Linked DNA regions of Oryctolagus cuniculus. The main gene of each other region encodes a partner of the protein of the gene in region 2 in a complex. Links are inferred from orthologs where the notes say so. Each region holds a gene or a part of one and is shown on either strand. Other genes may lie near its edges.

Region 1 (3,740 bases), on a different chromosome or scaffold from region 2:
AATGAGAGCCCGGGTGTGCTGTATGCTCATTAAAGTCTAAGCACTGGTCTATGTCCTGGGGAGACCCCACATGAGGGTGGGGGGCGGGTTAGGAACCTGGCACAGCTGAAGCGTTTATTTGGAATACCTTCTGATACAGGTCAGTAGTACCGAACGTTTGAAGATAAAGTGCTATAAATACTGGAGACAGAACTTGTTTAACTGGGGGGTGGGGGGGCGCTTCTCAGGGCAAATTTCCTTCGCCGAGAACCATTTCCTGTGGAGTCAAGTACCAGGCTTCTTTAAAATGAGACAGAGCCATGTTAAAAATGTGCGATAAGAACCGGGCGCTAGGCCAAGTCAACGGTTCACACAGCTGGCCTGGGCCTGGCGCCGTCCAGGTCAGAGGGCGGCCCCAGGCCGAGTCTTCAACGCTGAACTGTATAAAGACTCAACAGAAGTAGTTTGAGGGGGAGTAGCGGACTAATCCGCTTTAGTGGCTACACCCGAGCTAGCAGAGCCCAGGACCTCGCTGACCTTCGACTTCTGACCCCCCGCCTCACTCGGCACTTCCGTTCGCACTTCCGCTCCCGCCTCTCCGCGAAGGGCGGGCCCACGGGTTGTGGGCGGTACCCTAGGCCGGCGGTTAGGGGCGGTGCCTGCTAGGGGTGCGTCTCGCGAGGGCGGGATTTGAGGAGGCAGTCTCGCATTGGACTGCGAGGGAGGGGCGGGGCCGAGTGCTGCCTGGGTGGGGCGGGGCCGGGAGTTAGTCGCCGCCTTTGGGTAACCGGACTCTGGTGGCCAAACCTCCCGAGGCCGGGGGCGGCAGGCGGGCCCGCAGCCTATCCCGGATCCGGAATCTCCCGGGCCAGGAGCGGAATCGGGGTCGGCCCTGGCCCAGACCAGGCCAGAAAGGAACTCGCGAACTTGGATTAGGAAATCCCGGATCCCGGATCCACAAAGCCCGGAACCCGGAATTAGGATCGGAAAGTCCCGGATCGCGGAGCGCAGCGCGCGGAGCGGACTCGACGCGGAGCCCGGAGGCCGGGACGGGACGGAGCGATGTCGGGCCGTGGCGCGGGCGGGTTCCCGCTGCCCCCGCTGAGCCCTGGCGGCGGCGGCGCCGTGGCAGCCGCCCTGGGAGCGCCGCCTCCCCCGGCGGGACCCGGCATGCTGCCGGGCCCGGCGCTCCGGGGCCCGGGGCCGGCTGGCGGCGTGGGGGGCCCTGGGGCCGCCGCCTTCCGCCCCATGGGCCCCGCGGGCCCCGCGGCGCAGTACCAGGTGAGGAGAGAGGAGCGAGGGCGCCTCGAGTGGGGCCCCTGGGGGAGCCCCCTGGACCGGGGGCGCAGGACTCTGCGGCAGGAGCTCGCTGGGGCCGGGGAGGGCCCGGCGGGGGCCCTCTGGCCGCGGCTCGGTTATGGCGGTGGCGGAGTGCGAGGGGGCTCCGAGGGCTTCCTTGGCGCGGGCGCTGCGAGTAACTGAGCGATGGAGTTGTGGGAGGCGGCGAACCGTGGCCGAGCAGCCCGTGTCCGGGGTTCCCGGGATGTGATGGGAAAGTTTCGGACAAGGCTCCCACCGCGCGACCGGGGTTACCCTGCGTTGGCCTTGGTCCTGTTCCAAGTCTGCCCTGTTTTTTCTCGTTGGGAACTGGCAGGGCTGGAGCATGTCTGAGATGGCTCCCAGCTGCTAAGGAGGCGGCAGGAGGCCTGGCTTCCCACCGCCAGGGAGGCTGAGGTTGGGGCCGGGGGAGTCCAGCCTGTGTGTGCAGGGGCAGACCCAGGAGCTTTTCACTGGATTTGACTCCGGGTTAGACCAGAGGCGGTGGCGAGCCGGCTGGAGGGAGGACCCAGCCCAGTGAGAGACCATCGCGCGCAGACCGTGTCCTGGGCTCTCTGCTTGGCGGCGTCCTGGTGGCGGGAGGTTGAGTGGAGGAGCCGGGCTGGGGCTGCAGGAGTTTGCTTCCCAGCGCTGTCCCGACGCCTGCGGGTTGACGTCCGAGAGAGGCTCACGTTGCAGCGCGAAAGGCCACCGAGAGGCAGAGCCGCGACGGTCCTTACGGCGGGCGTGTGAGCACTCGGTCTGGCCCTGCTGCGGGGTTGGTCTCCCGGTCCGTTATTTTAGGTTGCCCCAAATGCTTAGGAATTATACCTGTCTTTTTTTTTCCCCCTGCCCTCTCCGATTTACTTGGCCTCCGGGTTCTGACAACCCCGCATCCTAACCCATGCACCCTGCGTTTGCCGCTTGCTGGTCTCCCAAGGTCTCTTCCCTCATTGTGTCTCCCAGCCAGGGGTCCCAGAGGGTCCTCAGGGAGTGTCCTCCAGGACCCCCGAGCTCTCACATCCCCGGGCGATGCCTACTGGGGACAGTGAATTTTGTATTCCCTTATTCCCTCTCCTTCGTAAAAGAAAACAGGGTGAGGGTGTGTGCAGAGGGAGACCTGGTCCCAGGGGCCCCGCTGGGGCTCCTCCTCTCCTATCTTGCTCTACTCCCTAGGGGACTCCTGGACTCAGGGTGTGGCTGAGGGGTCCCTGCATCAGTTACTCCAGCCCTCGGGCCTGTTTGCTGAGACCTGGCCCGGGAACCTCTGGGCCTTTGGCCTTGGAGGGACCTGGAACAGACAATGCGGCCCTTGGGAAGAGTGCCCATGCCCCTGAGAGGATGGCAGTGGCCAGGCCTAGCTGCGTGGCTGTGGGCCACTAGGAGTGGCACTGAGGCTGGCTTTCCTGGCCACCACTTTGTCCTCCTCCCCTCCGGAGAGATGGGAAGGGGAACCTGGCCCCCCGGGCTGAGTCAGGTCCCGTTGTGTGACTTCAGGAGAAGGGACTTGAGGGTTCCTGTCTGTCAGCACTCGCAGAGGGAGCTAAGAGCAAGGAGTCGAGGCCCACGCCGGGCAGGTAGGGAGCCTGTGGAAGGAAGGGCTGTGATGCCCCCTCCCTCCAGAGGGGGCCTGGTGGTCACCGCCAGCAGAGAAGCTCAAGGCCAAACCTCGGGTGCTGGCTTTGCTCTAGAGAACTCAGGATGCCCCGCTGACACCCTGAGCAGCAGGGCCACAGCTCAGGGGCGGGGCACCGCGTGCTCACCTGGCGGCTCAGCAGAGGGGCCGGCCTTGGAACAGCTGGTGTGGGGGACGGGTGATGCGGTCACTGCACACTTTCGGGGTTCAGGGGGCCCCACCAGGCCTGCCTCACCCTGTTTCATGTCAGGAGTCAGGGAGGGTGAGAGTTTTGGGCTGTAGGTTGTAGGTCTTTTTTTAGAATTCCTGAGTTGTTTTTTGAAGGGGTTGGAATTACTGGTGCTTCAAAGCCCAGGTGTGGAGCTTGGCAAGGCTGAACTGGGACTCCAGCTGCGAAGCAGCCTTTCCCTGGGGCCCAGGGTGAGCCGGGGGCCCTGAGCCCGGCACGGGACCTGCTCCAGGTCCTGCCTGTGCGCCTTGTCCTTGTCCTGGGACTTCCTGTCTCCGGAGCACCTGCTCAGGAGGGCTAGGTGGTGGTGCAGGCTTGGTGAGCGCCCTAGTGAGTGGCTTTGTGGGGACCGCAGGGCCCTAGCTCGCCCCTGCAATTGCTGCTTGCTCCCTTGTCTCAGGCACTGGAAAAAAAAAAGTTGCAGTCTGGGACATGTGTGGGGCCTGGGCTTACAGCTGCGGCCACATTGAGTGCTGCCCCCTCCCCCCCCATCTCTGGCTGTGGCTCATTAAAGCGGAGAAGTAGGTTGTCTTGCTTTCAACAGCTCTAATGAATCCCTTCCTGATGGAGCGAGGCTGC
Region 2 (3,640 bases):
ACCAGCCAGGGGCTGGGGGAGACGGGCTCTGCACCCTATTCTACCAGAGCGCTCCCCAGAACCTCAGTTCCCCTTTCTTGAAATTGTCATCCTCTAAAAAATGTAAGACTTGGTTACTGAAGGGAGTTCAAATGTGGCTTTTTAAAATCTCTCTACTTTTTAAAGGGCTTAATTTTTTTTAATCCATTAAAAAAATGCAGTAGTTTTGAGGGGATGCGCCCTTAGAAGTGGTTAATTAGAACCCTGGATGAGCACCTTCCGGCCCTTCTGCTGAAGGCAGCCTTCCCATCCTATCCTCTCAGAGACACAAGAAACAGCTTTGAAACAGTCCTTAGATACTCTGATATAAAAACGCATGCCCCTGCAGGGCACGGCGCGGGCTGTGGAAGGGCAGGAGGAGCTTTCCTTACGTAGTGATGAACTCTCCAGGCTGGGGAAGGGTCCCAGTGGTTGGGGGAGGGCTGTTCCTGGAACCGTGATCTCCTTGGGGGTGAGGGGGAGTTGTCTGGCTGGCTGCTCACTGTGGAGGTGGCACAGGGGTGACTGTGCCTGGGCTCGGGGCTGTGGGGTCTGGAGGCAGAGGGGTGCCTGGGTCTGTGGAGAAAAGGAAGGGGAATCAGCTCACGTGAGCAGAGAGAGGCTCCAGAGCCAGGCCACCACACATAAGCACAGGACCGGCCGTGGCATGCAGTGGTGGTGGATGATGAGGTACCTAGGATGTACAACTCCCCTCTCCCAACACCTCCTTCCACCTCATACTGGAAACACATGGATCCCAATCAGCCACCTATCCCCAAGGGAACTCTGAATGGAGCATTTGAATGTGATGGGAATGAGCAGAGGGATGCCAATCATCATGCAAACAAATAGCTGACTTCCAAGTTTACAAGGGAGATGCTCTGTGCCACAGGACTCCTCCGAGACCCACCAGGGAAAGGCCCCCACATCATCCCAGAGGCGGCAGCTGCCAGGCTGGGGAATGGTGGAGGACAGCCAGACAGGCCCTGCCTCCGGCATCCTAACTTTACCACAGTGTTCAAAAAACTTTGACTGCAGAAACTCTAGTAGCTGACCCCTTCCCCACCTGCCCTCCCCCCTTCCCTGTGGACCCCTCTCCCTCACCCTTCTCCCCTCCTGGCCCCTTCTCACCTGGCAGTGGGCTGGCACTGGGCAGGAGGTTGCCCTGAACAGCTGCCACAATGGCAGGGCTCTGGGCTGCGGCGGATCCGAGCCCCGGCCCGAGAGGCAAGGAGGATGGCATGGTGGTGGTCGCCGGCAGGTTAGGATGTAGAGGGTTCGCCATGGACACAGGCAGGTTAGGTGGGGGGAGAGTGCCCGGGGCGAACGGGAGATGGTGGTGATGCCCATGCAGGTTAGGAGGAGGGGGAAGGTTAATACTGATGGGGTCGGCTAGACTACCAAATGGGATGATGGATGGAGCAGGAGGAGGAGGAGGCGGCATGCCAAAAGGCAAACCCAAAGGAGCATTACCCGCCACGCCTGGGTGCCCGCTGCCTGGCACTGCCCCTGGCATCATTGAGGGAGGAGTTTGTTGGTTGGGGAACGGTGAGGGGCCTGGGAACAAAGAGGAGTGGTGAAGATTAGAGGCGTAAAATCTCACAGCAAGGATAATCTAGCTGCTCCCTGATGCCACCTTCCCTTCTCCTGACACTGGAATAAGTGGTTGCACTCCTTGGAACAAAACTCCAAAGATCGGGGTTTGGAGTTGGGGGGGGTCCCCTGCTGGCTTAGGGACATAACAGAGGTGCGCCCCTCTGTAGAAACACAGGCCAGTCTGTATCTCCAGGCCCCCCGCATAGTCCCCTTGGAGGGGAACTGGGACATTCACCTGGATCCCTTGAGCCAGCTAGAGTTCTGGAACCCATCACTTACCATGGGGTCCAGGGGGGGGTACCCCTGGTGGGACTGCCCCAGGCTGGGGGGCTCCAGCTGGTTGCTGCTGCTGTGGCCCTGCCGTTGACCCTGCCTGCCCAATCTGTTCAGAAGGGCCCAAGCTTCCAGGAGGGACCCCACTGCCAGCAGGAGCAGGGGCCACAGAGGCTGGAGCCACGGCCAAGCCATGGACTGCGGGTGGCCCAGCAGCCCCTGTAGGGGGGATAGGCTGGGAACCTGGGGGCAGGGTTGGCGGTGGCTGCTGCTGCTGTTGGTGCATCTGTTGGAAGTGCTGCTGCCGGGCCCTCATCTCCGCGTACTTTAGCTGCTCCATGTGGAAGGCTTGTCTGTCGGCCAGGAGCTGCTGCCTCTGATACTCCAGCTGCCAGTGCCAATTGAGGACTGTTACTCGATTTTCAGAAGATCCCTAGGCAAATGCCTCGCCCCCTGCTTTGCCGTCTTCTCAAAGACCTTGCCTCTCATTCTGGTGGTTCCCAACATCTACATTTTGTGCTTGTGCATCCTCTGTCCTCTCCACCCCACCTCTTGCAAATTCCCATGACCTTCATTGTCTCCTGGCTTCTCTTTGCAATGGAGTTAATCTGATGGTAGACTTGGCTCATTTCAGCTCCAAAGCTTTGAATTTGCCATTACTTTGATTTGGAAATCGCTTCCAGTTCCTCTTGTCAATTCGTTTTCTTCCTTCAACACTGGCTAGCGACTCACTGTCCTTAGGGAGTATCCCAGGTCAAGTCACTAGCCCCTGCGCTTGGGCTTTGTGGTGCCATTTCTCAGGACTCACACACATGATCTGAAATCTACTGGATTTCTACTACCTCTCAGCCCCTCCCCCAACTGCCTTGCTCAAAACTGAGGCTGCTCCTGGGCAGCCCTTTTGACCATGAGCCACAGGTGGTGGTGTGATTTGAATTTGTCAGATACTTTAGGCATCATTAACTGCTTTGATTGTCTTCATAATGGATATACGATGTTTCTAATTAGACTGTAAGTTCTCTGAGGGCAGAGTCCCTATTTCTTTTCAGGTGCTCTCAAAGACAAAATGGTTCAATACTTTGTTTCCATTCCCTTTCCAATTTAACATCCTGGAGCTGAAGCCCCTACACTCTCATTGCCCCTTCAACCCATTCAATCATTCAACAAATATTTACTGAGAGTTAACTATGGATCAAACACTTTTCAGGGACCTGGAGATGCAGCAAAGAACAAAACAAAACAAAACAAAACGACCGGAATGCCTGGCCCATGGAGCTGAGTCTAGGACCTCAGTGTCCAGGCTTCACGGGTGGGGCTCTGTTCCTTAACTGCACAGGGCTGGCGCCCAGGCCCTCAAGCTTTCTGCACTGCCATTTCTCTCTCACACCCCTCCAGTCCTGGACAGAGGGGCAGCTGAGTCTCCAGGAGGGTTCCAGGCTCCTGCTGAGCCCCTAGGGGAGGCCACTCACTGCTTCTCGCTCCCGGTCCATGATCGTCTCTAGCTCCTCGAAGTGCCGGAGTTTGATCTCCAACTTTTTCATCTGAGTTTCCACCAGCAGAGCCACCAAAGACTTGATCTTCCTTTCTTCGACGGCAGCTAAGTGCTGGGAGGGGGGGCGGGGGGAGGGACGGCTTGTGAGCAGCAGGACCCCGCCGCACACATCCCAGGGGAGAAAGGCAGGGCAGACATGGGCAGGTGTGAGAGCAAACTCCCTGCGGTCACAACCCACAGAAGTGTTGGCTTGGTATTTTT
Region 3 (3,740 bases), on a different chromosome or scaffold from region 2:
TGAGGTGATAATGAAGCAGCCAATAAAAGGATTAAACGAGTTTATAGATAGAAAGCAGCACTCAGTGCAGGACCAGCAGATTGCCTGCTAAAGATCCAGACTATTATTATGAAGAGTTTACCCAGCATCTTTGTTAAATGGGAAAACACAAAATTCATTCTTTTTCAGTCCTTATAAGTGAGCACTCAATTAAAGAGCGCTTTATAGTCTAAGACTGGCAACCCTGTAGGAGCTGAATAGGCAAAAGCTATTTTCTAAAACTTTACATTTAACTAAGTACAACCGTGACACTCCATATTCAGCATTTCAGACAATTCATTTTAAGCACTTAATTTTCTTTTGTTCTACTTTACTTGCTTTGAAAGCATTTTAAGAATTCTTATATCAATTTGTTTAAGAAATTTCCTTTGGTTGGCTAAAAAACTGAGACATTCAAAACAGACAAAACTTAAATGGAAAGTCCTCAGGAAAGCCCAGGCCACAACTTCACACCCAGAGTGGAAGCGGGCACGACCTCCACACACTAAGGAAGCATCTGGGCAGCCCGCCTGTCTCCAGAGAGAAGGAGCAGCAGCAGGCCCCCACCCGCCCCTCTGCGCTGAAGTCCACATCTCACACCACCCCCGTGGACCAAACTGGAGCTGCTGCCCAGCTACAGGCCGGGTCACAGGTCACTCTCCCACCTGCAGGTGTAAGAGCTCCGGTCCCAGCTGCCCAGCACACGAGTGAGCCAGCCGAGGGATGTGTGGAGAGGGGTGCCAGGGCCACCCGAGGGCAGCCCCAGGAGTCAGCGGGGAGGAGTGAGGGGCACCTGAGGGCAGCCTGGGGGGGCACTGAGGGCAGCCTGGGGGGCACTGAGGGCAGCCCCAGGATTCAGTGGGGAGGAGTGAGGGGCACCTGAGGGCAGCCTGGGGGGGTGAGGGGCACCTGAGGGCAGCCTGGGGGTGGGGGCGGGGGCACCTGAGGGCAGCCTGGGGGGGTGAGGGGCCTGGGAGGGTGAGGGGCACCTGAGGGCAGCCTGGGGGTGGGGGCGGGGGCACCTGAGGGCAGCCTGGGGAGGTGAGGGGCACCTGAGGGCAGCCTGGGGGGGGGGCGGGGGCACCTGAGGGCAGCCTGGGGGGGTGAGGGGCCTGGGAGGGTGAGGGGCACCTGAGGGCAGCCTGGGGGTGGGGGCGGGGGCACCTGAGGGCAGCCTGGGGAGGTGAGGGGCACCTGAGAGCAGCCTGGAGGGGGGTGAGGGGCCTGGAGGGGCGGGGGCACCTGAGGGCAGCCTGGGTGGGGGGTGAGAGGCACCTGGGGGGGGTGAGGGGCACCTGAGGGCAGCCTGGGGGGGCGGGGGCACCTGAGGGCAGCCCCCAGGAGTGAGCAGCAGGGGAGGGGGGAGGAGCACCTGCGCGCAGCCCCCAGGAGCCAGGCAGGCCCTCGGCAGGGACTCCCAGGACAAGTGCAGCAGGGACACCCGGGGCCACGGCGCCAGGAGGCCCCGGCGCGCGACTCCGCGGTCACACACGGTCCCCGACTCCCGCCTGCAGCTTCCCGCAAACGACGCCAACTTGCGGCGCGGGGCGCGCAGTCCGCCGCGGGGAAGCCACCGACCGGGCTCCCGCGGCCCCAGGCGCCGGCCGGCTCTCACCAGAGGCGGCCCTCGGGACCCGGCCAACTTTCTCGGCCGCCCTCCGAGAGCGCGGCGCGGGGCAGCGGCCGCGACTCCGCCCCCGGCCCGGCCCGCCCCTCCCCAGGGGCGCCCAGCGGCCGCCGCCGGCGCCCGGGCGGGCCGCGGCGCCGCCTCCTCACCTTCGCGGACTGCGCTCCGGGGCTGGCCGGGTCGCTGTCGCACGGCCGCGGGGACAGCGCCGCCCCGGGCCCGGCCGCCGCCGCCATCAGCCCGAGCGCCCCGCGCCGCCGCCGCCGCCGCCGCCGCCGCCTCGTCCCGGCCGCCGCCGCCGCCGCCGCCGCCGCCGCCGCCGCCGCGCGGGCCGCCCGCCGCCCCGGCCCCGCCCCCTCCGCCCGCCCGCCCGGGGGCCGGCCCCTGCCGCCGCGCGCCCCGCGGCCCGCCAGCGCCGCCGCCATGGCCGCCGCCAGCGCGCCCGCCCGCCCGCCGGCCGGCCGAGGGCCCGGGCAGGCCGGCGCGGCTGCGGCCCGGAAGGAGGACGCGCGGCGGCGGGGCCGCGCGCCCCACGTCAGCCGGCGGCCCGCCGCGCTCCGCCGCAGGCGCGCTCGGTCCGCAGGCGCCCTCGCAGCCGCCGCGCGCCGGCCCGGCGTCCTCCTCCTCGGCCCGCGGCGCGCCCCACCTCCGCCCGCCGCCGCCGCCGCCTCGGCCCCCGGCCCCGCCCCGGCTCGTCGCCACTTGGCGCGCTCGCTGCCGCCCCCTCCCCGCGGCCCCCGGCCCGGCCCCTCCACACGTCAGCCCTCTCCTCCCACCGCGCCGCCCGCCCCGCGCTCCCTCTCCCGGGGGTCTCCCGCAACCCCTCCCTCCCCGCTAGGACCCGCGCCCCTCCGTCCCCCCGCCCCACCGGGGGTCCCGCCCCACCACCCTCCCTGCCGGGGGTCCCGCCCCCCCTCCTCTCCCCACCGGGGGTCCCGCCCCAACCCCTCCCTGCCGGGGGTCCCCGCCCCTATCTCCCTCCCATCCAGCCCGGGGTCCCCGCCCCCACCTCCCTGCCAGGGGTCCCCTGCTCCGCCCTCTCGCTCCCTGCCTGCTGGTGTCCCGCCCCCTCCCTGCGGAGGGTCTCCCCCCTCCGCGGCCGCCCCCTTCCTCCCCGCGTGTCGGGGTCCCGGCGCCCCCGCCCTGCTTGTGGCTGTGGCCGTGGCCCCGCGTGCAGTCGCTCGCGTCGCGCCCGTGGCCGCCGCCGTCAGCAGCCTTTGTTCTGCGTCCGCTGCGCGGTGCGGGCCAGGGACTGCAGCGCGGTGCGGGCTGCGGGCTGCGGGCTGCGGGCGGGCCCTCGGGGAGGGCGCCCTGGCCTGCCCGGTGGAGCTCCGCGCCAGCACGTGCGGTCGGAGCGCGCCGGGAGCGCCCTGTGCGCCGCGCGGCCCGGAAGGGACTCTCGCCTGGCAGCGTCGTTTTCCCTGCGTTGGCGGGGCTGTGAAACGGGGAGAGCCCGGCTGCGGGGTGATTGTAAAAGTGCCGTGCAGTGGAAGGCCCAGAAGACAACCAAAAAAAGGAGCTGTTTTATTCGCACTGAATTGATTTAGGATCCTCGGGCGCTGGCTCCACAAGGTCACGTCTAGGACTTCACTGAAAATGGAAAGAACCTTGAAAGCGCGTGCCGACAGCTGCTGAGATGAGAGCCAGAAACGAGTCCGGGTGGATTGCTGGGCAGACGCCTGTTGCCCGATGCCCAGGACTGGCTTCCGGGCACGAGGAGGTTCTTACATCTAGAGTGCGATGTGCGTGGCGTCCTTGTCAGTCACTGCGGCTGGCTACACGCCGCTGACAGATGTGGGAACACACACGGAAGGGTTGGGTGTCCCTCGCCTGAATCCAAATGCCAGCTCCCAGAGGGTGCCCAGCTGCTCTGCTCCCCCAGCTCAGACCAGCTGCCGCCCCTTGCAGAGTTCCCGAGGGGAGCCCTGTGTCCGCAGGCTGAGCAGGAAAATCTCCTGTTCCCACCACGCTTCTTCCCCCCAGAGGTCACTGATGGGGGCCCTCAGATTTCCTGGCGGGGTTTAAAGCTTACAAAAGAGAGGGGGAGATATCTGTCCAGTATTTGGTTCTGTCCTCTCCCGTGGGTACCTGTCTC

Evidence for each region.
Region 1: SMARCC2 (region 2) and SMARCD2 share a complex: the UniProt entries of both Homo sapiens proteins name them as parts of the BAF complex. The link is inferred for Oryctolagus cuniculus from reciprocal best matches to the Homo sapiens genes SMARCC2 and SMARCD2.
Region 3: SMARCC2 (region 2) and PHF10 share a complex: the UniProt entries of both Homo sapiens proteins name them as parts of the neural progenitors-specific chromatin remodeling complex. The link is inferred for Oryctolagus cuniculus from reciprocal best matches to the Homo sapiens genes SMARCC2 and PHF10.

What each region holds. Positions count from the first base shown.
Region 1 is NC_091448.1:14,876,710-14,880,449, forward strand, and holds the start of SMARCD2 (SWI/SNF-related matrix-associated actin-dependent regulator of chromatin subfamily D member 2), read left to right. Parts: upstream 1-816; 5' UTR 817-1,041; coding exon 1,042-1,260; intron 1,261-1,648; exon of another isoform or gene 1,649-2,074; intron 2,075-3,740. UniProt on the Homo sapiens protein: Involved in transcriptional activation and repression of select genes by chromatin remodeling (alteration of DNA-nucleosome topology).
Region 2 is NC_091442.1:58,970,811-58,974,450, forward strand, and holds part of SMARCC2 (SWI/SNF complex subunit SMARCC2), read right to left. Parts: intron 3,492-3,640; coding exon 3,357-3,491; intron 2,276-3,356; coding exon 1,894-2,275; intron 1,576-1,893; coding exon 1,150-1,575; intron 595-1,149; coding exon 518-594; 3' UTR 1-517. UniProt on the Homo sapiens protein: Involved in transcriptional activation and repression of select genes by chromatin remodeling (alteration of DNA-nucleosome topology).
Region 3 is NC_091436.1:626,266-630,005, reverse strand, and holds the start of PHF10 (PHD finger protein 10), read right to left. Parts: upstream 2,306-3,740; 5' UTR 2,071-2,305; coding exon 1,795-2,070; intron 1-1,794. UniProt on the Homo sapiens protein: Involved in transcription activity regulation by chromatin remodeling. Belongs to the neural progenitors-specific chromatin remodeling complex (npBAF complex) and is required for the proliferation of neural progenitors.